Mus musculus: one gene and its partners. The protein of the gene in region 1 purifies or fractionates together with the protein of each later gene. This does not show direct contact. Links are inferred from orthologs where the notes say so. Each region holds a gene or a part of one and is shown in the gene's direction. Other genes may lie near its edges.

Region 1 (4,418 bases):
CACTTAGGAGGTAGAGGAATGGGGACTGAAGTTCAAGGTAATCTTTGGCCACAGAATGAGTTTGAGGCCAACCTGGGATACATAAGACCTTGAATAAGAAATAACAGTTGGTTGAGACCTAGACATGGTCTGGGGAATAGTTCACACTGGTCAAAGTAAACTAGACTGGTGTATAAACTATTAGGCTTGTATATTCATTAAATGAAGGAGAGCATTTCTATGGCCTTTATTTCTCACCTGAGCCCAGTCTGAACCCTTCACACTAGGATCAAGAATCCCAGCACTTGTATCTATCTTGTATAAAAGACTTAAGCAGCAGGAGTCGCAACAAATGAGAAAGGACTTGACCAGTTGGCTAGTAGATATATATCATTGTCTACTTTGTATCTGGGAAGTAAGGAGTCTTGCTACAAAGCTGATTATATCCTGGCCACCTGGAACCACCTGAAGACCTCACGGAGAAGACAAATCTGGGCAAACTTCACCAGCCATTTCTACAGAAAGTTGGTGGTGTGCCACACAGACACCTGCTCCAGACCAAAGAAATCCTTCTATCAGGTTTGAAGGAACCTCTCAGCTCCCAACAGGTGTGAATTCACTTTGAAGCTACGGGATCACACACATGATCATGGGCTAATGGTTTCTCTACAGCTCCTTGTTAGAGAGTGATAATCACAGGAGCGCTACAAAACGAACAAGCACAGCTTCCTCTTAATTCATGCTTTTGGACTAGAGAGCCTACATGTTCATGAAAATAAGAAGTTAGCGTGGGATAGTAGGCGGGGTCTTAGCTGCTGACCTTGATGCTCAGCTACTTCCTACTACCTAACAGAGAGTTCTGCAGAGACCTGCTGTGGCTTCGTGGAGAGAAAGAATGAAGTCATCCTTCTCTCCTAAACCATCCAACCTGTCTATAGGCATCAAGTCTATATTGCCAGTCACGCGTTCTGAAGTAACAGACGGATGTTTGCAAATGTCATGGCTGGTAGGATGTGGTCTGAGTACAGAGATCGCACAAACCAGAGAGGACCAGCTAGGATAGATGAGGTTGAGGGTTACATAGGGAAGCTCCCTGAAGAAGGACGCACTCCAAATTGAAGGAGTATCCTACCTGGTAGGGGTGAGACTAAGGTGGACCGGAACCAGAAGCAGTCAGCAGCAGAGTCTACCATGCCTTAGATATTCAGAGAATAACCAGGATATTATCAATCAGCTCCTGGGCACTTAATATGTGGCAGCTCTTAGGTTGGGAACTTGCTTTATGACATGTCCCAGATGGTAGATTATGCTTCACCCAGCCGTACAGTAACTAAGCCAAGTTCTGCATGCCAACCAAGCAGAGGCAAGGGCACCGCCCCTGTGAGATCATAACTCCCAGCTGCATCATATCCACATGATAGCAGTGACCCCACACCCCCTTATGAAGCTTTATTGGGCCACACCTCCCCTGTGGCATTGTGGGAACTTTTCCACCAGCTACGCTTTCACAGTGGGAAAGCTGAAGCCTGGCCACAGACTGCTGTCTGGCTCTGAGCTCTGAGCTGTCCCAGACAATGAGACAGGTCAGAGCCAGCACCCTCCATGGTTCCCTGCTGTGAGCATTGTCTGGTTACAGGCCTGAATGAGGGGCAAGTGGAGTGTCAGGACTGGATTCAAGGCTTGTGGCAGCCAGCAAGTGATCCTTATCAAGACCCAAGAGTTCAGAGCTACAGTGGCCCCATAGCACAAAGGAGAACAAAGGTTCTCAACATCTTAGTCTGAGAGGCATCAGTCAGAAAAGGGATTCTGATGCCTGGCAATGGCTGAGGAATGGGTAAGTAATGAAACCTGGATGGGTGGCAGGGTAGGACCCATGGCACAGCTGACTGGGGTGACTCAGGCCCAGAAGCAACCATGTTCTTAAGGCTGCTGTGCCCAGCCCTTGGCCCTATCCAATCCCATGTAGAGCTACTAACACCTGCCTGAAATTCTGACAGTCTGAGTTAATCATCCAACCACTTCTGGAGTGGATCCACTGTAGGGACAGAATGGAGGTACAGGTAGGTAGCAAGGCCGACAGGACCTGGATTTCTGTCTTCTGATGCCAAGGAAGCACTTAATTCTGGGACTGTCGTGCACTCAGGTCAGGGCTACTGAAAGATATACAGAGCTTCACTCCTACAAAATGTGATTGTTGGGCTTTAAATTTTTAAATTATTTATGGTGTGTGTGTGCAAGTGTGCATATACCATGGAATACATATAGAGGTTAGAATACAACTTTTTTTTTTTTTTTTACTTATTTTATTTATATGACTATGCTGTAGCTATCTTCAGACACACCAGAAGAGGGCATCAGAACCCATTACAGATGATTGTGAGCCACCATGTGGTTGCTGGGAATTGAACTCAGGACTTCTGGTAGAGCAGTCAGTGCTCTTAACCGCTGAGCCATGTCTCCAGCTCTAGAGTACAACTCCTAAGAATTGCTCCTCTCCTGCCAGCTCTAGGATCCAGGGGTGGAGTTCCAGTTATGGGCTGTGCACAAGGATCTCTATTAGATGGGCCATCTCACTAGCCCATGGGATGTTGTTGTTGTTATTGTTGTTGCTGCTGTTGTTGTTTAAACTATTTTTCTTAAACAGTTTTAGTGAGATGTAATTTACATATTGTACAATTTATCTCTGGCAAGGAGAGACACACCTTCACTTCTAGCTGAGTTCTTTTCCAAATTACCTAACCAGGTGAAGCCCAGATTTTTGGGCCGTGTGTGTCATGCTATGCAGACTTGGCTGACTCAGAACTCCTGCCTCTCTCTCCCGAGAGCTAGAATTACAGGAGTGTGTCACCACGCCCATCTGGTGCATTTTTAAAGCATAAGGTTTGTTCCCTCGCCTTCTCCGGACAGAGCCGTAGGCAGTAAAAGGTTCAACCACCAGGAGTCGCTGCTGCACCGGAAGCCAGTCTTCGCTGCGCCTGCGCGGACGCGGGCACGCGGCGTTCTCCAGCCCGGCGAGTGCGCGCCCTCCACACCAAGTGCGCCTGCGCGGAGCCTGTAGTATTTTCCCCCTTCTCGCGCCGGGCGCTCGTCAATCGCCGGCGGCCATGGGGGAGGCCGAGGTGGGCGGCACGGGCGCCCCAGGCGACAAGGGCCCAGGCGAGGCAGCCCCGAGCCCTGCTGAGGAGACGGTGGTGTGGAGCCCTGAGGTGGAAGTGTGCCTCTTCCACGCCATGCTGGGCCACAAGCCTGTCGGTGAGCGCCGCGCCGCGCACCGGCGTGGGGGTGGGGCGGGATAAACCGTCGGGCGGGCTGGCGGAGCCTGCGACCTCCCACGGGACGTGGCCTCCCACTCTGGGGTGCCCTACTAGTCTAAGAGCCTATGACTTTCCTGCCCGAGAAGCCCTCTCCCTGGGGACACTCCTGACTTCCCTGCCCTTGAGACACTCCTACCCCAGGGAACGCCTCCATTCCCCCCCACCCCCCCACCTCTGCAGCCCCCTGTCCTTGGACCCGCCTACTATACACACCCTAGCCCCTGGAACACCCACCTGCCTTGTGGCACCTCTCTTCCCCTTTGACATGTGACTCCTGCAACACTTGCACCTGCGGGTTTGCCCACTCCTGCCCCTCCTTCTTCACCCATGTCCTACGCACAGAGGTGCTGTCCTAACCCTCAACCCACTGTCCTACCTCTCAGGGGTGAATCGGCACTTCCACATGATTTGTATCCGAGACAAGTTCAGCCAGAATATTGGGCGCCAGGTTCCATCCAAGGTGATCTGGGACCATCTGAGCACTATGTACGACATGCAGGCACTGGTGAGTTGGATCCTGGCCTGCCCATTTACGGGCTGACCGTGGAGTCAAGTCCCAGATCCTGTCAGCTGTGGTACAGGACAGAACCCTCTTCTCACTTGGGGTTTGGTATGCAGAGCAGAGGTGATCTCAAAGGATGAGGCTCCTTCCTCAGAAAAGCTTAAGTCCTGTTGTGAAAAGCACAGACTAGCGATGATCTCTGACTACTTTTTCAGGGCACCTACCTACTTTAGATTGGGTGGCACAAAAATCGTCGAGGTGATAGTTGAGGTCTGAGATGACAAAGAAGCCTTCAGCCACCGTAAAAAGCAGTAATGGTACAGCGTCAGTATAGGAGGGTCCAGAGTCGTTTGAGAGTCTGTATACTGTGGGAGCCAGACTCCTCCTCTTCAGAGAGCCTAGAGATAGCTGTGTCTTGATGGGTAGCTAGGTAACTGGTTTGGAGAGCTGGCAGTGGCTGATGGTTCTGCAGGTAACTAGTAACCTTGCTAGTCAGGTTTGTCTGTCTTGTCTGGTAGGCAGTGAGACCAGGTGACCAGGATGGGTAGAGCTGTAGGTGCCTTTGGTTGTTCATGGTACCCCTGGATACATTGGCCTGGTGGGAGTGTTACAGTGGTGAGCCG
Region 2 (4,314 bases), on another chromosome or scaffold:
ACTGAGGCAGGCTGTGTTAGGTGTTGCATACATTGAGAAGTAAGCAACCCCTCCCACAGGTCACTTGGCAGTAATGTGCTCTACATCTTAACCAGACACATCACCTCAGGCACAGCTGTGAATAAGCTTGGCTATGCTCCAGTAAAACACAGCACAAGGTTTCTGACATGGGAGTATCATAGTATTCTTAAAACTGTTTTTGAATCATTTAAAATGTAGTAATACACACACGGTGGCATGTGCCTATAATTCCAGTACAAGGAGGCAGAGGCAGGAGGATTACAACTTGGAGACTAGCCTGGCCTACACAGTGAGACTTTCTCTCAAAAAACCCAAATCCAAACCATCACTGTCAGCTCACAGCACACAGTGTCAAGTGAACGGGAGAGCATTTTCTTACTAGCGTTATTCCTGAACCTATGACAGACAGGTCAATTCCTGCCACCTTAATGGCAGGGAAATGGATGAGAGTTTATTCAACCCACCTAAGGTTACAAGTAGCCACTATGTAGCTAGACCCTAGACACTTCAATTTAAGCACTGCTACCAGGTACAGAGCTACATTACACTTGAGCTTTGGAATGGCAGGACTGGTTTGGGCCTTTGGTTATATAGATCAGGCTATCTAAGGCCTAGAGAAGCAGAGGGACAAATTGTTGCAGTAATTTGGGGTAAGAAAAGACAGTGTTCTGGGCGACACTGATAGAGATGTAGACTAAGAACAGTAGACACGGATTGGGGAGGTATTTACAAATGGGTGCTTCCTTGAATAGTGCTCCACTTGCTTGGTGAATGATTTTCACAGAAATGAAAGAAACTGAAGTCATGATTTTTAAATGCTATCTAAATCTAGCTGGAAAAATGTACTGTCTTTTAATATAAATAGCCATTGTTTAAAATGATGGATCCTATTATTATATCTGATTTGCTGATTAATTCAAAGTGAAGTGCACATTTCTTTTTCAAGTATAAATGTTAGTTGAAGTATTTCTGCTTAAAAAAAAAAAAATTCCGAATTCATCACAATCAAAGGCCAGGGATCTCTCCCAGGTAACTAACTCAAGTTCCAGATTCCTTGCACTCAAGTTCCTTTGGCTCCTGGGGAGCAGCCATCCTTTAGAACCAGAGCGGTTGATGGCCTGAGGCAAGCCTCTTAATTCCCAGTACCTAATTAACTCACTCTCGAAACCCGGCCCACTCCTGCACCAAGCCCCTCCCACTCGCCCGCCCACCTAAGACTCCTCCTACTCTATTCGCGCGCGAAGCACAGCTCCACCCACTCCCCCCGCCTTGCTCCTGGAAGCTCGGTCCACCCTACCGGCCGCTCGCGAAGCTCCACCCACCTCACCCGCCCGCGAAGCTCCGCCCCCTCCTGCCCGTACCCCAACACCTTCCCTTCTTCTGTCGCTTCTCCCTCTCCCTGCCCCTACGGATGCCTTCCATTGGCTAAGACGGCTAAACCGCGCGGGGATGCAGCAGCGCCACACTCTGATTGGCTAATGACTAAGCCGGACCCTTTGTCATTGGTTGATACGAGAAACCAGCAAGAGTGGCTGTGCAGCGGGCGTGCGGCCGCTGCTTTGTTGCCGGAGGGGGCGGCGTTGGAAGTTGCAGGCTTGCGGGGCCGGCGTTCTCAGGGAGAGGAGTCACGCCGCTGTTATCTTTCGTCCGGTAGTCTTCGGCCAGTCCCCGCCAGACAGTAGCCATGAGCGGCGGCGTGTACGGCGGAGGTGAGTGAGCGCAGCGGCGCCTCGGGGCGTGCGGACCGGAACGACCGGCCTGGTCCCTAGTCGCTTCCGTTTCCCTCCGGTCCTCGGCGGGCCCTTCCGGTCTTTGGACGGTGCTTCCGGTCCCCGTATGGGCCACGGCCTCTCCTTCTCTTCGGACCCGGGCCGGCGCGCAATAGGTTTCCGGCTTGTCCCGTCGCTGCTCCGAGATGGCCTCAAGGAAGGGCCTTGGCGCGTCTTACCGGCTGGGCTCTGATGGCAGTCCCTGGCACGCCGGGTCCCTCACTGTACCGGTTCCGCCGCGCGTTGGTCCCGGGCAGCTCGCGGAGGTTCCGGGCCCCCGGGGTTGGCACTGGGTGCGAGTGGCGCCCGGTGTTGCGGCTGCTGCTCTGGGTCCTTCAGCAGCCACTACAGCCTGGACATCGTTCCAGGCGTGCTCGGTCCCCAGATGAGCGGATCCCTGAGGTACAGGCTGCAGTTCTCCTGTCCGGCTGGGCGGGAGCCTTTTCTAGATCGGCGATAACGAAAACAAGGCTTCTAAGTACTGTTTTGTTTAAGAGTAGTTACCTAGTTAGAGACTCTCCTCTAGGGGGGATGTTGACAGGAGATGGTGCTGCCATCCCTCACGTTAACGAAGAAAAAAATATTGGCAAGAGTTAAACAACCAGCTCAAAGTTTAAAGACTCGTTGTAAATTGGGAGCAAATTGCTTCTGGGATGAGGCAGGGGTATTCCTTTCTCTGCCGTGTACAGGTAACACGCACCCATCAAGAGTTAAATAGTATCCTCACACTAACAAATCTATATCTGCATTGAGTCAGTAGATCTGTGCCCACTCATTTTAACTGCTGTGTAGGGTTTTCTGAGAATAAACTATAGTAGTTTCTCTAGGAACGGTAGTCTTTTCCCTGGCAAGAAGTGTGACAGTAATAATTACCGTTAGCTAATATTTATCGGCTTATTGTTTGTCAGCACTGTAAGTGCTTTATACATTAAAACATTCAAGGCATTTAGTCATCCTATCCTATGAGGTAAGTATTAAATACATTTTTCGGATTAAACTGTAGCAGAGAAGTTAGTAAATTACCCATCTCACATAGTGTATTAGTCATTTTTCAGTTGCTGTGATTAAAAAAAAAAAAAAAACCAAGAAACAAAAAAACAAAATCAGCTTCTAGAAGAAAGAGTTTACTTTAGCTTATGATTCCAGAGAGGTAAGAGTCCAGTTTGAGAGAGGTATGGCAGCTAACAGCAGGCATGATGGTGGGGCAGGAATCTGGGCTCACGTGTCCAACCTCAAGCATGAAGCAGCTGGAAATAGTGGGGGCTTTAAACTCAAAGCCTGTCCCCCAGTGACAGCTTCCTACATCAAGGCCCACATCTTCTAAACCTCCATAAACAGCACCACCAACTGGGGCCCAGATGTTTAAATATCAGCGTCTATAGGAGACATTTTCATTCAAACAGTTGCATATGCATCTCCTTTTAAACTAGGAATTTCTCCAAACTGGGTATGTCTAAACTAAATAGCTCTGTGATTCTCTTTGGGTGCCTCTTTGTAACTAGCACCAAACTGGGTAGATTGGGCATAGATTGGCTTTAACTAGAGAAACAGAAGAACTTTTAAGGCCTTAGCATTTGAGTAATGTAGGTAAGTAGGATTAGTGTTTTAAATTTTGAGGGGGACCCCATTGAAAAACCAGTACTGAGAAACCCAAGTGCATTATCCTAGGAGGCCTGCTGTTTGGGGTGAAGTATTTGGAAAATATACATGGAGGCTTTTCTCTAAATTAGACTGAAAAAGATTGCCAGCTTTTTTCTTACCACTAAACTGTCTCCTAAAGTCTGGAATGTGTAACTTAAATGATACGTTCATTAAATGCTTTTTACTTGGCCTGTATAAATTACACTCTAATTTCCATGCTGTGCAGTTTTCATATTTTGCTGTGTTTCTTCATTTCATGAAACAAAACATAATTCCCCATAATTGATGAAATTGTACTAGGATGTATTCGGTGGTTTTTATTTTTCTTTCCTTTGTTTGTTTGTTTGATTTGTTTTGTGCCACCAGATTCCCTTGCTGTCATTTATACACATCTTGTGCCTGTAGAGATGGCCTCTGGGCTTTCTCAGCCTCTGGTTTCAGCTTTGAACTTTGATTTGGTGATGGTAGGGTAACTATACTTTTTGCCTGTGCTTTTTGTTTTAGTATAATCGTTAAAAGCTGGTGTTCCCCACCCAAGTTAAAATGCCCCAATTTGGATGCTGCATTATAGAGTCTTCCTGGGATTGCAATCTGAGCTTGGCCCTCCCTCCCTGAATAGGCAGCTTAGCTCTGCATCATTCAGCTGTTACCACAGCTCTCAGCAGAAACCTTCTAGGTTCTGGGAACAGTTTCTTCTTGTTTCCTCAGTTTAAGGATTATGAGGGCAGTCCTTTGTTCATCCTTCTGTACCTGGACTATAGAAGTTTATAATTAGTTCCTTTAGTAAGGAAACTACTACCTGCTGTCAGTGTACCATGGCTTTCCTGATTAAACCTCCATTGATAAAACAGTATGACTTGCCATATTTTAATTAAATACATCT
Region 3 (4,491 bases), on another chromosome or scaffold:
CAAAGCAAGGAAGCAGCAATGGCTCCACCCCTGTGAGGCTGTTGTGAGTAACAGTGGTGATGCTTCAGTTCCTCAGGGGAAGACTGGATGTTCTGAAAGATGGCACAACTCAGAACTCACAAGAGAGAAAAATGCCGTGTGCTGTCATATGCCTGTTGTCATCCTTGTGACAAGTCCCAGGCCAAGCAGGGCTACACAGTGAGACTTCACCTCAGAACAAACAATAACAAAAGGCCTATTGGCTTTTCAGTACTTCTTATGCTGAACATATTTTGCACACAGATCAAATCCAAGTGTTATTATTAATGCTCCTGTGATGAAACCAATCCTTTACTTCTGCACATAAACTCTTCTCAAAGTGGCCAAATGGACCCGAAACCATTTAAACTGGGAACACTTAGAAGTAAGGCTAAAGGGCCCCACTACACCCTTTAGGCATGTTATCAATATCTGTGATAGTTATTTTTGGTTGTCCATTTGACTACATCTGGATTTCACTAAAACCCAAAAATGGAAGAACACATACGTGAACAATTTTGCCTACTCTGAAGTGGGAAAACCCACTGCTTTGTGTTTTTAAGAGGATTTCTCAGTGTAGCCCTGGGTGTCTTGGAACTTGCTCTGTAGACCAGGCCTGCCTCTGCCTCCCCAGTGCTGGCAAGCTGGCTTGGTGGAAGATCCACTTTGAATTCACATCTTTGAGGAGGGAGAACACACCTTTGTTATTCAAACCTATTCTTGTTATTCAAAGTCAGAAGATGCACCTTCTGCTGGAAACTAAAAGAAAGACATGAAACAAGATTTTCCTCCCTGCCACCCCCAGGACAGGGCTTATCTGTGTAACCCCGCTTGTCCTGGAACTGACTCTGTAGACAACGCTGGCCTCAACTCATAGAGCTTCGCCTGCTTCTGCCTCCACTGCCAGCCTGCTTTTACTCTGCCTACTTGCTCTCACTCTCGTTGACAAGTCCGCTCCTTCACTGTCATTAGCGCCTACTTCTTTGGGATTCTGATGTATAATGAAGACCAACTGAGACATCCATTCTTGTTGACTGAATGCCTACTGGAATTTTGAACCTTCCATGTATACAGCCACATATATACTATTTTAAAAATAGAAATCCAGTATTAACGGAAAAATCTTGCTAAGCCCCCAGGCCTGTGCAATCTTATGCAGACACCTGGGTGGATCTCTAAATCCCTTCAGGTCTACTGACTCCCCAGGGTTCAAAACCCCACTCCTTAGCTTCTTACTCAGGGTGACACCTCACACTGCCACTAAGAGGCTCGCCAGAACACTGCCTCTAGACAAAGCCTAAACATGATCTGAGTGACCGGCGTCGCACCCGGTGGGCGTCACGTGACAGACTCGGCGTTCCTCCAATCGCTGTGCGAGGAGCGGGGATTCCATCTAGTACTTGGCCTCAGGTTTACAACGTCCTGCTCTTCCATTCCCCAAACGGGCCGGCTTTTTGCTACCAACCAGCTAGCAGTGATTCTCAAGTGTTTCCCTTTCAAACAGCTTCAAGGGGCTCGGGCCTATAGCGCACTCAGCTCCGGAAGTGACGTCTCCCAGAGGGGCCGGAAGTGGCAGTGGAGGGAGGGAAGATGGCGGAGGTGGTGAGTCCGGTGCCCGGGGCGGGGCGGAGGGAGCCAGGGGAGGTGGGTAGAGCCCGAGGCCCCCCAGTAGCCGACCCTGGCGCCGCGCTGTCTCCCCAGGGGGAGATAATCGAGGGCTGCCGCCTGCCCGTGCTGCGGCGCAACCAGGACAACGAAGATGAGTGGCGTGAGTGACGTCGGGGGGCGGGTCCAAGGAACCTGAGGGCGAGGGGCGGGAGGGAGTCAACGATCGCACGGGAGGGGGAGGGGCTTCTGCAATCCCGGGGCGGTCGCAGATACTCGGGAGGAGGGGCGTGGCTTTTGGACGTACGGAGATGATCCGGGCGGGGCTTGGAGAGAGGTGTCACTTGGTGACTAAAGGGGTCTTGAACCAGCCCCTCTGAGTGCTGGGACACAGGCCTCCAGCCTGGAGGTGGGATTCAGGTCGAAGGGTGGAGTCTCCTGACCTGCCCTGGCTAAGACTCCCTGTCTGTGTGGTTCTCATAGCCCTGGCTGAGATCCTGAGCGTGAAGGACATCAGTGGCCGAAAGCTTTTCTATGTCCATTACATTGACTGTGAGTCCTGGGCCTGGATGGAGTGGGGTTGCTGGAGAGGGTTGAGGGCAGCCTCTGGCATTCCCTCCTGAGCCGTTTTCACTGCTGCAGTCAACAAACGTCTGGATGAATGGGTGACTCACGAGCGGCTGGACTTAAAGAAGATCCAATTTCCCAAGAAAGAGGCCAAGACACCTACCAAGAACGGACTTCCTGGGTCCCGCCCCGGCTCTCCCGAAAGAGAGGTGGTGAGTAGGTCCCCCATTTCATCTTTTCTCTCCTGCCTCTTCCTTCTTGCATCTCTTGGCCTCAGGGGTTCCTGAATGGGCAGGAGGCAGCATTCTTCTGCCATGGCTTCAGCTTGCAAAGGATGGGGACCAAGTTGCAGGCGTAGCTTCCAGAGTCCAGCACTGCCTTGCTTTAGAGAAGGCAGAGGGTGGGATTCCATGCTGAGGGGCCCATCCCCCCCTTCGCCATCCCACCACCATCCCCACCCCAGAGGAAGACCCTGGACCTATCTCTGCAGCCGGCCTCCGCCCAGGCCAGCGGGAAGACCTTGCCAATCCCGGTCCAGATCACACTCCGCTTCAACCTGCCCAAGGAGCGGGAGGCCATCCCAGGTGGCGAGCCTGACCAGCCGCTCTCCTCCAGCTCCTGCCTGCAACCCAACCACCGCTCAACGGTACCCTCAGCAATTCCAGGGACCTTGCTTTCTTCTCAGGTCCCACCTTCTCTACCTTCTGACCCACCTTTCCTGGTTTCTCTCTGCAGAAACGGAAGGTGGAGGTGGTTTCACCAGCAACCCCAGTGCCCAGCGAGACAGCCCCAGCCTCGGTTTTCCCTCAGGTGAGTCTTCCAGTCTTTTTTCATGTGTCTGAATGTTTTGTCTGTGTTTTGCATGTGTTCTACTTGCATGCCTGGTGCAGGTGGGCAGAAGAGGGCATTGGAGCCACTGAAACTGGAGTTAGAGATGGTTGTGAGCCACTCTGTGGGTCCTGGGAAAAGAACCCAGGAAGTCCTCTGGAAGATCAGGGCTCTTAACCACTGAGCCATCCCAACAGCCTGCCTGGTCTTTCCCCTCTTATTCCTTGCTGTCTAGCATCCTCCTCCAGGATCATCTCACGGTCGCTCTTTCTCTTGTGTCTTGTCCACAGAATGGGTCAGCCCGTAGGGCAGTGGCAGCCCAGCCTGGACGGAAGCGGAAATCTAATTGCTTGGGCACTGATGAGGTGGGTCTTGAGGAGCAGAGGGAGAGGGAAGCCGGGAAAGGGGGAGTGGGCTTGGGCATGGTGTTCACTCGGTGAGGCCTTAGGCAGGGAGGGTGGTGGCTGGGAGCCAAGCAGATGAACCCCTGGGCCTCTTCTACTCTCAGTTTCTCAGCCTCGCTTTATTTTGGAAGTGGAGGTTGGTGCTTTGCCCTTAGCTGATGTTAGACTTGCAGGAAGAAGCCAATGGCAGTGTCGTGCGCCACGCTCTGCTTAACTGCTACCATCTAGTATTTGCCATCTGCCTTGGGCAGGATTCTCAGGACAGCTCAGATGGAATACCGTCAGCACCACGAATGACTGGCAGTCTGGTGTCTGACCGGAGCCACGACGACATTGTCACCCGGATGAAGAACATTGAGTGTATTGAGCTTGGCCGGCACCGCCTCAAGCCGTGGTACTTCTCCCCGTACCCACAAGAGCTTACCACGCTACCCGTCCTCTACCTGTGCGAATTTTGCCTCAAATATGGCCGTAGCCTCAAGTGTCTGCAACGCCACTTGGTATGAGGGGTCTTGGGAGGCTGCCTATCCAGAGTACCCTCACCAGTCCCCACCTGATCCTCCTTTTGTCCTTAGACCAAATGTGATCTTCGGCACCCTCCAGGCAATGAAATTTACCGCAAGGGCACCATCTCCTTTTTTGAGATTGATGGACGGAAAAACAAGGTTAGTGGCTTGGGCACGGCTGGGCTGGAGTGAGTCACATGAACAACCTTTTCCTGCTCAGAACAGTTGACCATTCTGCCTATGAGCAGGTCACTGTTTTTATTGAATTCTTGACACGGAGCAGGGAATGTACAGAAAACTGGGATTTAGAGAAATTTTCTTTCCTGAGAGGTCACTGTCACGGCAGAGCAGACATGACAGCTACTCAGGTTCCAGTAACAGAGGGGGTTCAGCACAGTTCACAGGAAGCTGTCATCAGAGCTTGGAGGTGTGTGTGCCTATAATCCCAGCACTCAGAAAACTCCCGAGTTCAAGAGTAGTCAGGGGACTAATGAGTTGCAAGCCAACCTGAGCTATAAAGTAAGAAAGACCTATCCGGAACCAAAACAAAAAACAAAAAGAAG
Region 4 (3,695 bases), on another chromosome or scaffold:
GTATCTCTGGTGGTCATAGAACTCACTATGTAGACCAGGCCAACCTTAAACTCAGAGATCCTTTGCCTCTGCTTCCCACCACGGCCAGCTAACGACACAATCGTGAATAGATATCCTCACTGAGACTTATTACTCTTTGTTGAAACTCTGAAAGTTTGTTTCCGAGCTTGCTTATCACATTTTTCTTTCTTTCTTTCTTTTATAGCATTGTGCTTCTCAGTATTCTGAGCTCTTAGAGACTACTGAGACTCCAAAGTGAGTATAAACCCAGGTACATCTGTTTGGTCAGGAAGGGTTCACTGTGGAAATATATCTTACTGGGTGAGAAAAGTATAGCAGATGTTATGATTACATGGTAGAAAGGCTCAAAGAATACAAGTGGAAACAAATGTCCTCTTACTTAAATTTGGATTTATTTTTTGTTTTCCACAGACGGAAACGGGGTGAAAAAGGAGAAGTGGTAGAAACTGTTGAAGATGTTATTGTTCGCAAACTGACTGCTGAGAGAGTTGAAGAACTGAAGAAAGTCATAAAGGAGACACAGGAGAGATACAGGTAGTTATCAGGTGATTTGGGAGGGGCATTGGACAGACATAAAAAGCTGACTTCTGGTACATACAAGATTAAGTTGGTGTTTATGAGTGACAGGGTCTCACTGTATAGTCCTGGGCTGGCCTGAACTCTGTCTGTAAACTAAGCTAGAGTCCATCACCCTCTGGTGGCCCTTTTAACCCTTTTAATCCTAGCACCTAGGAGGCAGAGGCAGGCAGATCTCTTAAGTTCAAAACTAGCCTGGTCCTCAGTGAGTTCTAGGACAGTCAGGGCTACACAGAGAAACTTGTTTTTAAAATACAAAAAAGAGGGCTGGAGAGATGGCTCAGTGGTTAAGAGCACCAACTGCTCTTCCAAAGGCCCTGAGTTCAAATCCCAGCAACCACATGGTGGCTCACAACCATCTGTAATGATAACTGAATCTCTTCTGGGGTGTCTGAAGACAGCTACAGTGTACTTACATATAATAAATAAATCCTAAAAAAAAACAAAGAAGGGGAGGAGGAGAAGAGAGGGAGGGAGGGAGGAAAGGAAAGAAGGGAGGGAAGGAGGGAAGGTGGGGAATGTAGTTAAAATGCTGGATGCATGCATGGTATGTCTACAGCAGCTACTCAGGAGTTTGAAATGAAACGGTAACTTGAGACCACAAGTAAAAAGCTCTAAATGTGGTTTATAGTAGGTGGTGATTAGACAACTCAGTGGCAGAGATGGAAGGGACCCAGGTGGTAGGAGATGGCCTGTGACCTCATGTGCTGTGAAATGTGTCCACCTGTACTTGTACACACACACACACACACACACACACACACACACACACACACTAATAAAGTAATAAAAGATTATGGTAGCGCTGGGTGTGGTGGCGCACACCTTTAATCCCAGCACTTGGGGGGCAGAGGCAGGTGGATTTCTGAGTTCGAGGCCTGGTCTACACAGTGAGTTCCAGGACACCCAGGGCTACACAGAGAACCCTGTCTTGAAAAACAAACAAACAAAAAAAAAGAGTATGGTAGCTCATGCCTGTAATCCCAACATTTGGCAGACCAAAACAGAAAATTTTCATTAAGTTTGAGCCCAACTAGAGGAGGGCCCTGTCTCAATAACCCAGAAACTTACTGTGAAGAGGACTGATGTCTGCCTCTTTGTTTCTATAGGCGTCTGAAAAGAGATGCAGAACTAATCCAAGCCGGGCACATGGACAGCAGACTGGATGAGCTCTGCAATGACATTGCAATGTAGGTTCCATTTGTGCTCTGCCAGTGTGTCAGAATACTTTTTTATGAGTGTGTTGTGAACTATGGAGAGGAGCTCGAGCTGGCTGATGTAGCTCAATTCTTTTCCTTTTTTAGGAAAAAGAAATTGGAAGAGGAAGAGGCTGAAGTAAAAAGGAAGGCCACCGATGCTGCGTACCAGGGTGAGCTGAGTTTAGTGCTTCTGTTAGCATTGACCATGTGGTTCTGTGTGCTAATGACAGCGTTAGAGGAGTGTGATGACCACTGCTCTATGGAGAGTTAGCTGTCACTTGTTTTCTAATGTACAGTCCACTGGTTTTGTTGACTTGCAGCGTTTATCATGTTCCTCCCCTTCTTTTTTTCCCCTCAAAACATTATTCTTTTTGTTTTTCTGCTAAGGATTGAGCTGAGGGCCTTGTACATGCCTGCTAAAATTAGGCCTCCAGGTAGCAATAAATAAACAAGCTTTCACAAGGATCGGCGCCTACCCCTATCAGAGTTCTTTCATCTTTTGTATTTCCCATTTACTAATTTTTGTCATGTCCCATGATTTCCCAGTCGTAGACCATGGATCAAGCCCAGTGTCTTAGGCTCCTGACTGATCTGCTAAACTGTAAGGCAAGGCAGTTACAACTTTTCCTCTTCTCTCTAAAGTTTGAGTGATTTTGAATCTCTGGAGCAAACTGGCAGTGAACAGGAAAAATGTAAAGATTTATTGTGTGCGTATGCATAGCAGTCTCATAAAATAAGGTGTCTGGGTAAACCCTTGCTTAGCATGCATGAGTCTTAGTCTCTAGCATAACAAACAACTACAGAGAAAGAATCATTCCTGTTATCTCTTTTTCTAACAGAATAAACCATCCTTTATGTTCAAGAAGAAATACTTCGAAAAATGAGGTCTTTCGTACTCCCTAGGTCTCCAATTTACTTGTAGGACTCACAAGCTTGATAATGGCAGACTGAACATAATTTAAGGTTTTATTTATTTATTTTTATTCTCTTCATATATTTATTTTTGAGTACTCCCACCCCTACCCCCAAGATAGGGTTTCTCTGTGTAGCCCTGGCAGTCACTTTGTAGACCAGGCTGATCTCCAACTCAAATGAGCCTCTGCATTTCTTGTGCTGGGATTAAAGGTGTGCCCCACCACCACCCAGGTTTTTTTTTTCCTTCAATTTTTTTTTTTTTTTTTTACATTTGTTTGTTTGGAAGTGGAGGCACAGATACGTGTCACGTGGTGGGTCTGTATAGACCAAAGAACAAGCTGTGAAAGTCCATTCTCTCCTCTCACCAGATGGGTCCCAGAAATTGACCTTAGATCATCACAGCAAGAACCATCTTATTAACCTTAATTAAGGCTCTAGAGCTCAGAGGCCAATAAAAAAGGTCAGCCGTGAAGTGAGCCAAGTGCGGAGGTGTACGTCGTTATTGCTAGCGTTCGGAAGGCTGAGGCAGGAAGATCTCTGTGAGTCAGTCAAGTTTGCATAGTGGGTTTCAGGCCAGCTAGGACTACATTGTGAGAGACACCACCCACACCCACACCCACCCCTTCCTATAATCCCAGAGTTTGGAATTGGAATCCAAAGGAGGATGGGATGAAGAGTTAATTGCAAATGATCAAGAGTTCATCTTGGGTGGTGAGGTAGGAGGGAAACATGGGTGTTAGCAACTGTAAGACAGACTACATGGTGAGAATCAGTGAGGCCTTCTCCTCTTTCTAAAAGCAGATTCTTAAGTTGCTGCAGAAGATGTTGAGATGTAAACCATGTGCTACAGCAAGGACCTTTGAAGTAGTTAAGTAGTTAATTTGTTTAATGTGAGAATCGCCCTGAGTTTGAAAAACTAAACTAAAAAGTAATAATAAAATTTCTAATCTCTGCTTCAGGGTATAACAGTGGCTGGTTTCACTT
Region 5 (4,474 bases), on another chromosome or scaffold:
GGTGCCCAAGCCTCCATCCCTAGCTAAGAAGCTATCAACAGTGGGTGACTCCTGTGGGGGAAGAGTCAGCTTTAAGGTGTGGGCCCTGGTAGGTTGATCACTTTCCATTGGATGATCTCACACCTATAAATATATGGGCATCTCAAATTGGGACTCAGTCATTAAAACGGGGCAGGGGGAAAAGCTGGAGAGAGGATGGATCAGAGCTCTCCCCCAGGACCCTGGTTCAATCTCCAGCACCCACATGGCAGCTTACAACTATTCCTCCAGTCCCAGGAGGATCTGATGTCTTCTGGTCTTCTTGGGAATTGCATGCATATGGTACAGAGACATACATGCAGGCAAAACACTCATAGACATAAAAAGAAAATTTCCAAGGTCTGATTGTTATTTTTTTGAGCCTAGGCTAGCCTCAAATTCTCTGTGTAGTTGAGGCTCATCTTGATTTTTTCCCCCTCAAAACAGCTGTCCTGTCTGTCTTCGAGTCCCCTGAGTGCTGGGAATAAAGACATGTGCCACCATGCCTGGCCCTGGGAGGTTCTTCTGTGGGCCAGGCTGGCAGGAAAGGAAGAGATGCTAGACTCAAATTCAGGGATTTGTGCAAGCTTGGGCTTAGGCAGATATTTTACCAACTGAGTTTCATCTACAGCCTTGACTTTCTTTTTTGGGGGGTGGTGGTGAAACTGTCTTATATAGTCTTACTGGCCCAAATACTATGTAGTACCTTGACCTTCCTGCTTCTTTTACCGCGGCCTCTTGGGTGCTAGAATTATAGGCATGTACTACTGGAGAGGAACAAGAGATTAGTGAAGAGGTTTGTGAGAGAGAAAATTAGGCAAGAGGAGTTTTAGAAAATTGAGAATTTCTCATACCTGTTGAACAATATACATCTAGGGCATAGAAACCCAAGGACATCCACCCATGGGGGCAAAGAACGCCACCTAAACTACGAGTGACGTTGCTGAGCACTGAGAATGCAGAGGTGGGCTCAGGGTGTACCTGTAGAGTGCTTGCTTCGTCTGTCCTGAGATCCATCCCCAGCACCTATTAACAGCGGGCATGCTCAACACATGGAATCCCAGCAGTGGGAAGGCAGAGGCAGGACGATAAACTCACGGTCTGTTTCTGTTCAATACCAGCCTGGATACAGTTCTGGATCTGAAGATAGAAGCTAATTCTTTCATAATCCTTCCCCTCCGGCAAACCACGTACAACAGGAGATCTGCTTGCCTGTGCTAAACCCAGCAAGATGTTGGTTTGGGGATCTTCTCTGCAACCCGGTTGGTGGGCGGAACCTTGCTCAGGTTTTCCACCTGCAGTTGGGTGGTGTTGCAAGGACCTCGTCTGCCGGGAGACATATGGAATACTCAACAGGCCTATGCTGCAGCTGGGTTCTCGATGTAGTGAATGTCTGTGGGTGTCTGTTAAGCTCAGAGGCCCACAGTGGAGCAGCAAGGAAGGTCCCACACGTACAAGCGCCTCTCCGCGCCGGCTTTCGCGCGCTGAGCCGGCCAGCTTCCCCGGAAGCCGCGCGCGCAGGCGCGGTGTGGGGGGTCGCGCCCCCTGGCGGCCAGCGGCGACAGTGCGCAGGGTCCGCCTACTGGTCGCGCGCCGCCGCCTCCGCCGCCGCTTGAGCCCAACATGGCGATGCACAACAAGACGGCGCCGCCGCAGATCCCAGACACCCGGCGGGAGCTGGCCGAGCTGGTTAAGCGGAAGCAGGAGCTGGCGGTGAGTGGCCGAGGCCTGGACGCCGTCCCCACTTGGCCTCGCAGGCAGCTCCGGAGGCGAGGACGGCGGGCAGCCAGGGTCTGGGCGCTCTGGGCGGCCGGGCGCGGCGCGGTTCCCTGCGGCGGCGCGGTTCCCGGCCTGCGCTCAGTGGGGCGGGGCGGGGCGGTGAGGGCGCGGGAAGGGCGAGAGGCAGGAGGCGGGGACGACGCTCAGGTCGGGTTAGCGGTTGGAAAGGAGGCGGCTAGACCCCGGCCTGGAGAAGATGCACGATGGATTCCATGGGCGGCGCGTTTCAATGGCCGGGGAATGTGGTGTATTTGAGGATGCCAAGGAACGGGGCTGGCGGGAGACCCAAGACGCAGCCTAGGGAATTTGGATTGGTGACGCGCACCAGGAGCCGCCGGCACCCTGCTGACTGCCCTGTAGGCTCCCGCCTTTTACGGCGAGCATCCGGGAGGCAAAGCTCACCTGAAGCTGCCCTTCCAGGTTTCCATAGCAACCGGCATCCACTGCGGGCGGCCCTTCCAGAGCTAGCAGGGAGGAAGCAGTTGATGTAGAAGAGATGCTTTTGAAAAGCTGTTCACCCTTCTCGCTGCTGGTAGCAACACATTTAGTGAGTGAGAATGGAGACAGCTCACGGTCTGTCTCATCCCTGCTCGTGACAGCTAGGTTTTGCCTCTGAAGTAGATGCAAAATCTTGCATGTGTGTGCATTTTCTGAGGATAGACTATACATTTCATTCTATTTATAAAGGGGTCCATCACCCCTACACTTCCACAGAAATGGTTCATTGTGGGTAAGCTTGACTTTACAAGTCTGTGACGGAATTTCAGTTTGCTTAATGCTTGTTTTTCCCTGTCCCTGTTTTCATCACCTAGGAAACACTTGCAAACTTGGAGAGACAGATATATGCTTTTGAAGGAAGCTACCTGGAAGACACTCAGATGTATGGCAATATTATCCGTGGCTGGGATCGGTATTTGACCAATCAAAAGTGAGTGTCAAAATCTAGTAGTATTAGCTGAGCACTGGTGGTGCACGCCTTTAATCCCAGCACTTGGGAAGCAGAGGCAGGTAGATTTCTGAGTTCGAGGCCAGCCTGGTCAACAGAGTAAGTTCCAGGACAGCCAGGGCTATACAGAGAAACCCTGTCTGGAAGAAAAAAAAATCTAATAGTATCTCTCCATTTTATCCTCTACTAATATTTGGCTGCAGGATTTTTGTTTTGATTTAAAACATGGTCTTACTATGTAGCCCTGGTTAGCCTGGAACTCACTAAGTAAAGCAGGCTGGCCTCGGATTCACAGATCACATAGCTCTTTCTCCCTCTGACTTCTGACTGATAGATTTAAAGGTATGGACTGTCATGTCCAGCTTGGGACATTTGCTTTTGGCATTTACTCTGCAAGGAGATGGTAGAGCCGTAGTGTGGAATGGGGTCTAAGCTTGAACTTGTACTCTGACGGCTCACGGAGAAACCTTGGGGAAGCCAGTATTTGTGATGAAAGAAAATAGGGCCCATGGTGCAGGGATGTGTGGGTGTAAGTGAAGTACAGCCTGTGACCGAACTGTCTTCCACATTTTCATCAGCCACGCTGTGCCATTACGATCTTTGTTCTACCTCCAAGTTCATTGTTACCACTGTCAGCTCAGTCATGCGATTGTATAAAAATGCCTACGCTTGTGAGGAATTTTTCAAATCTGTAGGAAAACTGAGATGAGAATGTGCATGACCAGTTAGTGTTTTTCCCATGTATTCATGAGTTGCTAACTCACTGTGGGTGCATGCTCTCTCTGAAGTACGAAAACTTCTCTGTGTGCTTAAGAACCTTTTGTTTGGAAATAATTTACAGATGGCGATAGAAAGCTGTACAAACAATAGACATGGCTTGTGTGTGCTTACGTAGTTTTCTCTGATGGTTACGTTTTACGTAACTATAGAGTATCATCAAAATCAGGAAATCAAGATTGGCTGTGTGGGGGTGGGGGTGGGGGTGGGTATGGCATTTTAACGTATGTGTATAACTACAGGATGTGAAACCAGGCCCAGGAGATATTGCTCGGTGAGTAAAGGCGCTTGGTGTACAAGCCTGATGACCGGAGCTCAGTTCCCAGAACCTGTGTTAAAAGGCACAACTGGCAACAGGAGAGATGGCTCAGCAGTTAAGAGCACACACTGCTCTGGCAGAGGACAGGAGTTCGACTCCCAGCATCACTGTTAGGTGCCTTACAGCTACCTGTAACGGAGCCCCAGGGGATTAGACTCTGTCTACTGAACTTTTGGACCATCCCCCACCCCCACCCCCACCCCTGCCATTTAACACACATGTGTAAATGCACGTCTGGAATTTTAGCATATGTGGTGGGATTTGGGGACAGGAGAATCGCTCACTTGGGAAGTTTGCAGGACAGCCTGAACTATGTAGTGCTGTCCAAATAACCAGATTGCCTCTGTCTCAACAAGGTAGAAAGCAAGGGCCACTGGTGGAAAGCTGCCCTCTGATTAGTGTGTGTATAAAGATGCAGACCCATTCCGCCGTCACAGGGTCTCCTCCCTGCTCCTCCTCTGTGGTTACATTGCTGTTTGCCCGTGCTTTCTCTCCCTGCTAACCATTGAAGAGTTAGGCGCTTACACCACGAATCTCTGCCTCTAAATATATTATCAGTTACTTCCTGAGAAGAGCAAGGCATCTCTGCATATAACTCGGATGCTTATAGCTTAAACATTAACACGGATTCCTTC
Region 6 (4,361 bases), on another chromosome or scaffold:
AAAATAATAGCGCAAAGAGCATCAATCAGGAAGGATTTGCAATTGTTACAAGAGCTAGCAACCAAAGAAAGGTTAGAGATGAATACACACTGATCGTTCTCAAAAGCTGGGCGTGGGTATCACCCCGCGATGTTATTAAAATGCAGCTTTACGCCTTCTGCCCACGTATTGGTTCCATCCACTACGCGGAGTCGCGACAGGTGATCAAACGGTCACCCCTGTGGTTCCAGCAGAGGGTGTAAGAGCCCGAAGATGAGCGACTCTACTTTGCAGACATCCTTTGGCAAACCAAGCCGACAGTTGAGCGCCTGCTGGATGCGAAGCGCCGCAGCCCCTTTGGGGCGGAGAAAGGCAGCGTCCCCGCCCTCGCCAGCCAGCAGCCCAGAACCCGAGGCGAAAGAGCCGGACGGCGCCCCTCGGCGCCCGCGGTCGCCGGTCCCTCCCACCTGAGCACTCGCCGCCACAGGTCCCCCCCACCTCCAGGCTCCGCCCCCGGGGCCTCGCCTCCCGCCGCGCGCCCCGCCAGAGCGTGTGCCCGCTCGGCAGGCAGGCAGGCGGGCAGGCAGGCAGGCCTTCCTCACCCGCGAGCTCCGCAGCCGCTGCAGCAGCGCGTCCTCGTCGTCCTCGACATCGCCGAAGACGAGCTGCTCCAGGCAACGCTCGGCGGCCGGCTTATCGTCCTCTAGCGTCAGGCGGTTCCGCTGCCGGAGCCGGCTCTCCTCCTCCTCTGCCGCCGCCGCCGCGGATCCCGCGCTAGGGGCCGCCCTCGGCTCGGCCGGCTGTGTCCGTTGGGATGAACGGGCGGCCTTTGCGGGCGTGCTGCCGCTCCCGGGTCTGGCTTTCCTCCCCGGCGTTGCGCCGGCTCTCCGGTCTCGTCTCGTCCGGCTCTTGCGTTCGGGCGGCATCCTCAGGGCTGAGGGGAAAACGCCGACGTTCACGTGGAGTACCACTGCGCATGTGCCGGGGCGGCTCGCTCTTCTCCTCGGCCCGGCCCCGGGGAGCCGGAAGGAGTCTGCGCCGCCGCAAGCCACGTGACCGGCGCTCGCGCGCTACGTCACTCCCACTCCGTCCGGCGGCCCCGCCCCATGTGGGAGTTCCTCAGGGAAGGCCGATCTTCCGGGTGGAGGGGGAAGCGGCGTGACTGGAGTGGAAATTTTTCCCAACACAACTTCTCGGAGGCAACATATTGGAAGGGACTCGGGGAGGCCGGAGTCCAAATGGAAGTGGCTGAAAGAAACTTCTCGCCCTGCTGATTCTGAGCCCCGCGTCGTGCCGCGCGCCCTCAATTACCTCATCGACTTGTGGTCTTGGTACGGTCCTTAGAGTACGGCGCCTGCCGAGGGTCCCACGCTGGAGGGGAGAGAGGAGGGTACGTGGGGGAAGTGGGCCAATCGGGGCGCGGGTCACGGCGCAGGCGCGCTGGGGAGGGAGGGCTATGCTAATGTTGTTGATATCCTGGGGCCACCCGAGTTAAAAGGGGGGAAATCCGGGGGCTGCCACTGCTGTCGCTGGCCCTGGCCCAGCCGGGGGTCCCCCCTGTAGTCGCCGCAGTCCCGGGGAGAGGCACCGGCCCCCTGCTCGCGGGGGGGGAGGGGGCGCCGCGGGCTCGGGGAGCACGGACGGCCCCTACCCATGAGGCCCTGATGGAAAACACAAAGGATCTGGTGAGAGCCGAGCGCAGCGGCCGCTTTGTGTGCCAGGTTTGAGGGGGGGGGGCACGCCTGCGGCTGCCCGGCCCCCGGAACGCCGCAGCTCGGGGACCCCACTCGCGGGCCTGCTTCTTCATCCCACGCCCCCTCCGTCTCCGGAGCTCCCCTCCCCCTACTGGCCGTTAAACGTTCAGGGGTTCCCCTCCCCCCCTCAACCCCTGACTTAGGGTTCTCTTAGGGAGAAAAAAAAACATAAGAAAGTTTTTCCTCTGCTCCCTCCCAACCCCGTTCTGCTTGAAGGGAAAGATTAGATAGGAGACTTTGCCTTTTTTAGCTGCCAAGGGTGGGAGAGTGGTTTCTCGGGGGTGTGGGGGCAGGAGCATACAGAGTTTCGGGGCTTGGCTGGAGACGGAGCCCACCATTGTAGAGCCAGCGCCGAGAGGCATTTTGCACGTGGAGGTGCTGATACTGAAAGGGGGCGGGGTGGGCACGTGTGGGAGGGAGACGTAGGAGTGGTATCGGGGAGTCAGCCGCCAAGGCTGCTACTTGAGGGTTCCAAGTCAGTGGGCTTCCACCATCCGTACGTTCTCCTTTGTGAAAAAGAAATCCTGACATTTCAGAGTCGGAAGAGACACTAGAAGTCACCCAAAGCAGCCCAGCTTCTGACGAGTGGTAGGTAGTCTGACCTCTACTTAACCCTACATCCATATACCACGCACTGCAGCCTAGGAAAGCACCTTCGGTTTCTTTCAGTCTCTGATATTCACTTGCCTGCCCTTATTAGACCCTTCAGTCTCATTCATGTCGTGTCCTGGTTAAGTTGCTCCCTTTTTTACTTCTCAAATTTGTTCTCACATCCTCCTCACCCACCCACTGCTCATTGGCCTATATTTTGTATGCCAGGAAAGAACATCAGGGAAGTGGAGGGAGGGGGATGGGGAGAGTAAAGAGATGGTAAGGGCCAACTGAAAACTTTGCTGGGTCGGTATCAAGTGTGCTGCTTCCATGACTAAAGATGGTTGAAACTATTCCCTGGGAAGCCAGGGAACTGCTATGTGGGGGTTTCATGACTGTTTCACAAGTAGTCCTCTTTGCGATGAGGACATTTTTAACACCATATCCTTGGTACTGTCAATGTACATTATTTGCCTTTTGCTAAATCACTTTTTCTAAGAACGCGTAAAATTGGGCCTGGGGGAGGAATAGTACTGAAACTAATAAATACAATACTTGGAAGATACATGATCAAAACTATTCCTTCTCATCATTTTGACTCATGGTCTTTGCAAACCCATGCCCCCTCCAAAAGGAAGGCCCTTTCTCACAAATGCTTCTTGTAACGTTTATTTATTTATAGGATAGGATGCTGTTGGGGGGTGGGGGCGGGGGTGGGGGTGGGGGATCAGAGAACAGGTGGAGGTAGTCATCTTAACTTATGCCATGTGCGAACCAGGAATCAAACCCAGGTCATCAAGATTGGGAGCAGACACCTTTAACCTACTAAGAACTTGCTCGAACCTGCCTGTCTTCCCCTACCCCCACCCCACCCCTCATGTGTGTAAGTGTAAGAATTCTTAGACTTGAAATGTTTGTTACAATTTATTGTTTACTTTTGACTTTTTAATCTTTTTTTTTAATTTATTTATTATATGTAAGTACACTGTAGCTGTCTTTAGACACACCAGAAGAGGGCGTCAGATCTCTTTACGGATGGTTGTGAGCCACCATGTGGTTGCTGGGATTTGAACTCCAGACCTTTGGAAGAGCAGTCGGGTGCTCTTATCCACTGAGCCATCTCAACAGCCCGACTTTTTAATCTTTTACCCCTTACATTAATATGCACCAGAACTTAGCACTTAGTAGTTAACTTGCAAATATATATTGGCACCCACTGCTGTGCTTAACTCCCAGGAGTTGCTCCTGATACTGGTAAAGAAAAGCAAGCGTCTTCCTGTTCCCCAGTCTGTGGTAGAGGCTGGTGGTTTGCTCTTGTGTGTTTCAGACTGTTTACCTCACACCAAGGAGTGTTTAGAAAGAAAATAGCTGGCTTTTTGCACTGTCTCCTCTGAATAACAAATAGCTTCTATTTATATGGAAGCCCATATTGAAGTATTGCAAATGCCTTGCAGATTAGAGCAGATGCTGTCGCAAATAAGTGACTGTTCTTAATGTCTCTGGTGAGCCAGGGTTTCTAGCCATTTTCTTTCAGGGCTATTCACTAGTGTTTTAGCATGGATTTGAATCCTAGCTGTAAAAACTTAGAGCTATTTACGCACCAAAGTTTCAGTCAGTATCGCCTTCCAAAGTTTTTTCCTGCTAACTTTAAGCATGAACTGTCATGATAAAATTTGACTTTAAAAGCATTTGCATGCTAAACATACTAGACAGGAACAACTGGTTTTATTTTTAAAGAGGTCATTACTCTGTTTTTTATGGTTAGCTATACATGGATCTCATTATCTGTCTTCCAAGATATTTGGGTGTTTCCCTCATCCCTTAGTTACTTTTGTAAATAAAGACAAAGCAAATTATTTTAAATTGTGTTAAAATACAGCATTCAGACTCAGAATTGCAGTTTATGAGTAAAAACAGCATGTTAATGTCATAGTCATTAGAGTATGAAGTGACTGAAAGTACGAAGTGACTGAAAGCCAGGATTCCTCAGGTGATCTGAATAACCACGTATTAAGCGTGGAGAAGTCAGCTGTTTTG
Region 7 (2,438 bases), on another chromosome or scaffold:
AGTCACAAACACATCTGGAACTCTAGTTCCAGGGGATCTGATGCCCTCTTCTAACTTATGTGGGCAGTGGGCACATAGGTGATATACAGAAAGGTTCTCCAGAAACATCCATATGCAAAAAATAAAATTAATCTAAAATATTTAAAAATCAATAAATAACTGATGAGCAGGCAAATAGCAAGGGTATTCGAGGTAAAGTGCGGGTATGGGGCGGGGCGCATGCTGGGAGTGTCAGGAGGAGGAGTTGGTTCCTAAGGGTGGGACAGAGGTGGGGTTTTGTTTTGATTGACAGTCTTGAGTTTTATAAGCGTAGGTTGACTGCTCACAAATGCCAGATGGTAAATAGGGCATTTCTTCTCCTGGCTGTTAATTCAGAGGACAGTTTGTCTTACTGTACATACATCTAAAACCAGTCTAATCCAGACCAGATCGGCCTAGTGTCCCTAATTCCCCAGATATGTTCCGGGACGGTTTACCACAGAGTGAGAGTTTCCAGGGTTGTTGGGGAGCTGTGTGTGTAGCTCAAGCCAAGCTGGGGCTGCATTTATTTGTCCTCCACTCACTGCCTTACCACGATGCCTTCAGCACCTCTGCCCTGAGCACAGTGAGAGGACACAGCATTGAAGCCTGCCGACGCTGGTGTCCTCACTGGGCCCAGGACACCGGCTACGTTTCAGTGGCTTCTCATCTGATGCTCCTGACATTGTACCAGAGAGCAGAGCTTTGTGCAGTCCCTAGGTCTGGCCTGGCCCTGACGGCTCAGCACCTCCGGTGACACAGCTATCTCGCCCTCTCCTCTGCGCAGGTGGACGGCGTTCTGAAAACTGTGCTCCGGGATGAGATCATTGCTTGGCACAAAAAGACACAGGAGGACACTTCCTCTCCACTGTCGGCCGCAGGGCAGCCTGAGAACATGGACAGCCAGCAGCTGGTTTCCTTAGTTCAGAAAGCCGTCACTGCCATCATGACCCGCCTGCACAACTTGGCCCAATTCGATGGTGGGGAGAGCAAGGTGAACACCCTGGTGGCCGCTGCCAACAGCCTGGACAACCTCTGTCGCATGGACCCTGCCTGGCATCCATGGCTGTGACCTCGGTGACCACCCTACCCAGAATGTGAAATGTGCCTCTCAGCCTCTGAGCCCCTGGCTGTTGAGACCTCTCTCTGCCTTGTTCCCCACTTTATTCAGTTACCTTCCCAGTAGTTTGTGTGTGGAAGAGCATGAGATTAGTCCTGGAGGGAGCCCCTGCACACAGTAGGCCAGGCCGTTGGCGATGGCAGAGCTGAACTCAGCAGCTTCCGAGATGCCTTTTAACTTGAGGAGCCCTGAACTGGGACTCCCTGTGTACTCCTGTCTCAGTGTGAAGTGCAGACTGAGAACGTCCCCTCCATCCCCCAACTTCCAGAAACTACACCTCAGAGTGGCTGCTCACTGTCATACCGGGTCTAGGGAATCCACAGTGTTAGAGAAGCAGGAAGCAGGATCAGTTCGACAGGCGTGCATCTCTGAGCACAGATCTCACTCTGTCACTGGTGTGGACATCTCGCCAAGTCTGATGATGAGGCTCAGCGAGCCCAGGGCCTGCAGGGGAAGCTGCTCCAGGCCTCATCAGTCAGATCCGATGCAGCTGTGCAGAACGAAGCTGTGAGGCCAGCGGGCCAGCCTTTCTCTTTTTACTGCCGGCTTGTTGGATATCTTTTAGAGATTTACTATCATTGTACCAGAAAGAAGAAAAAAAAAAGACAAAATCATTTTGTTTTTCCTTCCTAATTTAAAAAGAAAGCAGTGAAAGTTTGTCCCCTTTAGATGGTTATGTTGACATTTTTATAAATCTGAGCATTGAGAATGTTCTAGCTAAATTTGTACAGTGTGGTTTTTTTTTTTTTAGAATAAATATTTTATAAAAGTATTTGCTGTGCCCTATTTTTGTGTTAGCGTCTGTGTCCGTGTGGCGCCTCTTCCAGTTCAGCACCTGCTGGCCCCTCCTGGACAGAGTAGGGTGTGGCTTTCAGATGATGGTGCTGGCTGCCTGTGAAGGTGTGGTGGCCCACGGTCACAGGTCGGTGAGGTCTTGGCTCCCAGGGTCAGAAGCAGACCAGCCCATGTAAAGCCTCGGTGATGGGAACGGCCGTCCTGCCTTGGCGGTGAGCACAACCCTCTTCGTCCTACTGACTAAGCATGTATGAGGAGCCTGTGGGAGGCGAGGCTGGCCCAGTGTCTATGTCTTAACCCTGGGAAAACAGTGTGAATCAAAGTACAGGTGGATCTGAGACGTTGTAAACGTGTGACTGTGACATCGGCCTGACACAGGATGTGGAGCTCCGTCTAAGCCTAAAGGAAGTGTGCCTTTGGCAGGTACCAACCTTCTACAGGGCTCGCCACAGCTGCTTACACACAGCATGGATCACAACCCCTTCTTGGCCCTGGCGTCTCATCT

The links.
Region 2: the proteins of Mrgbp (region 1) and Actl6a purify together in Homo sapiens (co-immunoprecipitation; 4 studies listed by BioGRID and IntAct, with this or other methods). This does not show direct contact. The link is inferred for Mus musculus from reciprocal best matches to the Homo sapiens genes MRGBP and ACTL6A.
Region 3: the proteins of Mrgbp (region 1) and Kat5 purify together in Homo sapiens (co-immunoprecipitation; 8 studies listed by BioGRID and IntAct, counting the BioPlex papers as one, with this or other methods). This does not show direct contact. The link is inferred for Mus musculus from reciprocal best matches to the Homo sapiens genes MRGBP and KAT5.
Region 4: the proteins of Mrgbp (region 1) and Brd8 purify together in Homo sapiens (affinity purification with mass spectrometry; 10 studies listed by BioGRID and IntAct, counting the BioPlex papers as one, with this or other methods). This does not show direct contact. The link is inferred for Mus musculus from reciprocal best matches to the Homo sapiens genes MRGBP and BRD8.
Region 5: the proteins of Mrgbp (region 1) and Meaf6 purify together in Homo sapiens (co-immunoprecipitation; 4 studies listed by BioGRID and IntAct, counting the BioPlex papers as one, with this or other methods). This does not show direct contact. The link is inferred for Mus musculus from reciprocal best matches to the Homo sapiens genes MRGBP and MEAF6.
Region 6: the proteins of Mrgbp (region 1) and Mbtd1 purify together in Homo sapiens (affinity purification with mass spectrometry; 4 studies listed by BioGRID and IntAct, counting the BioPlex papers as one, with this or other methods). This does not show direct contact. The link is inferred for Mus musculus from reciprocal best matches to the Homo sapiens genes MRGBP and MBTD1.
Region 7: the proteins of Mrgbp (region 1) and Trrap purify together in Homo sapiens (co-immunoprecipitation; 3 studies listed by BioGRID and IntAct, counting the BioPlex papers as one, with this or other methods). This does not show direct contact. The link is inferred for Mus musculus from reciprocal best matches to the Homo sapiens genes MRGBP and TRRAP.

Annotation. Positions count from the first base shown.
Region 1 is NC_000068.7:180,579,725-180,584,142, forward strand, and holds the start of Mrgbp (MRG/MORF4L-binding protein), read left to right. Parts: upstream 1-1,497; 5' UTR 1,498-1,813; exon of another isoform or gene 1,814-2,144; intron 2,145-2,886; 5' UTR 2,887-3,083; coding exon 3,084-3,231; intron 3,232-3,676; coding exon 3,677-3,798; intron 3,799-4,418.
Region 2 is NC_000069.6:32,707,151-32,711,464, forward strand, and holds the start of Actl6a (actin-like protein 6A), read left to right. Parts: upstream 1-1,395; 5' UTR 1,396-1,705; coding exon 1,706-1,730; intron 1,731-1,785; exon of another isoform or gene 1,786-2,192; intron 2,193-4,314.
Region 3 is NC_000085.6:5,607,147-5,611,637, reverse strand, and holds the start of Kat5 (histone acetyltransferase KAT5), read left to right. Parts: upstream 1-1,543; 5' UTR 1,544-1,608; coding exon 1,609-1,620; coding exon of another isoform or gene 1,621-1,719; coding exon 1,720-1,786; intron 1,787-1,893; exon of another isoform or gene 1,894-2,106; coding exon 2,107-2,175; intron 2,176-2,265; coding exon 2,266-2,402; intron 2,403-2,653; coding exon of another isoform or gene 2,654-2,680; coding exon 2,681-2,836; intron 2,837-2,925; coding exon 2,926-3,000; intron 3,001-3,308; coding exon 3,309-3,383; intron 3,384-3,673; coding exon 3,674-3,922; intron 3,923-3,997; coding exon 3,998-4,087; intron 4,088-4,491. UniProt on the Homo sapiens protein: Catalytic subunit of the NuA4 histone acetyltransferase complex, a multiprotein complex involved in transcriptional activation of select genes principally by acetylation of nucleosomal histones H2A and H4.
Region 4 is NC_000084.6:34,611,308-34,615,002, reverse strand, and holds part of Brd8 (bromodomain-containing protein 8), read left to right. Parts: intron 1-205; coding exon 206-255; intron 256-432; coding exon 433-555; intron 556-1,706; coding exon 1,707-1,787; intron 1,788-1,901; coding exon 1,902-1,966; intron 1,967-1,972; exon of another isoform or gene 1,973-3,250; intron 3,251-3,512; exon of another isoform or gene 3,513-3,627; intron 3,628-3,695. UniProt on the Homo sapiens protein: May act as a coactivator during transcriptional activation by hormone-activated nuclear receptors (NR). Isoform 2 stimulates transcriptional activation by AR/DHTR, ESR1/NR3A1, RXRA/NR2B1 and THRB/ERBA2.
Region 5 is NC_000070.6:125,083,536-125,088,009, forward strand, and holds the start of Meaf6 (chromatin modification-related protein MEAF6), read left to right. Parts: upstream 1-1,625; 5' UTR 1,626-1,641; coding exon 1,642-1,731; intron 1,732-2,609; coding exon 2,610-2,725; intron 2,726-4,474.
Region 6 is NC_000077.6:93,884,753-93,889,113, forward strand, and holds the start of Mbtd1 (MBT domain-containing protein 1), read left to right. Parts: upstream 1-1,418; 5' UTR 1,419-1,643; coding exon of another isoform or gene 1,644-1,664; exon of another isoform or gene 1,665-2,321; intron 2,322-4,361. Other genes in the region: Utp18 (U3 small nucleolar RNA-associated protein 18 homolog), read right to left, coding at 582-905. UniProt on the Homo sapiens protein: Chromatin reader component of the NuA4 histone acetyltransferase complex, a multiprotein complex involved in transcriptional activation of select genes principally by acetylation of nucleosomal histones H4 and H2A.
Region 7 is NC_000071.6:144,857,869-144,860,306, forward strand, and holds the end of Trrap (transformation/transcription domain-associated protein), read left to right. Parts: intron 1-805; coding exon 806-1,090; 3' UTR 1,091-1,910; downstream 1,911-2,438. UniProt on the Homo sapiens protein: Adapter protein, which is found in various multiprotein chromatin complexes with histone acetyltransferase activity (HAT), which gives a specific tag for epigenetic transcription activation.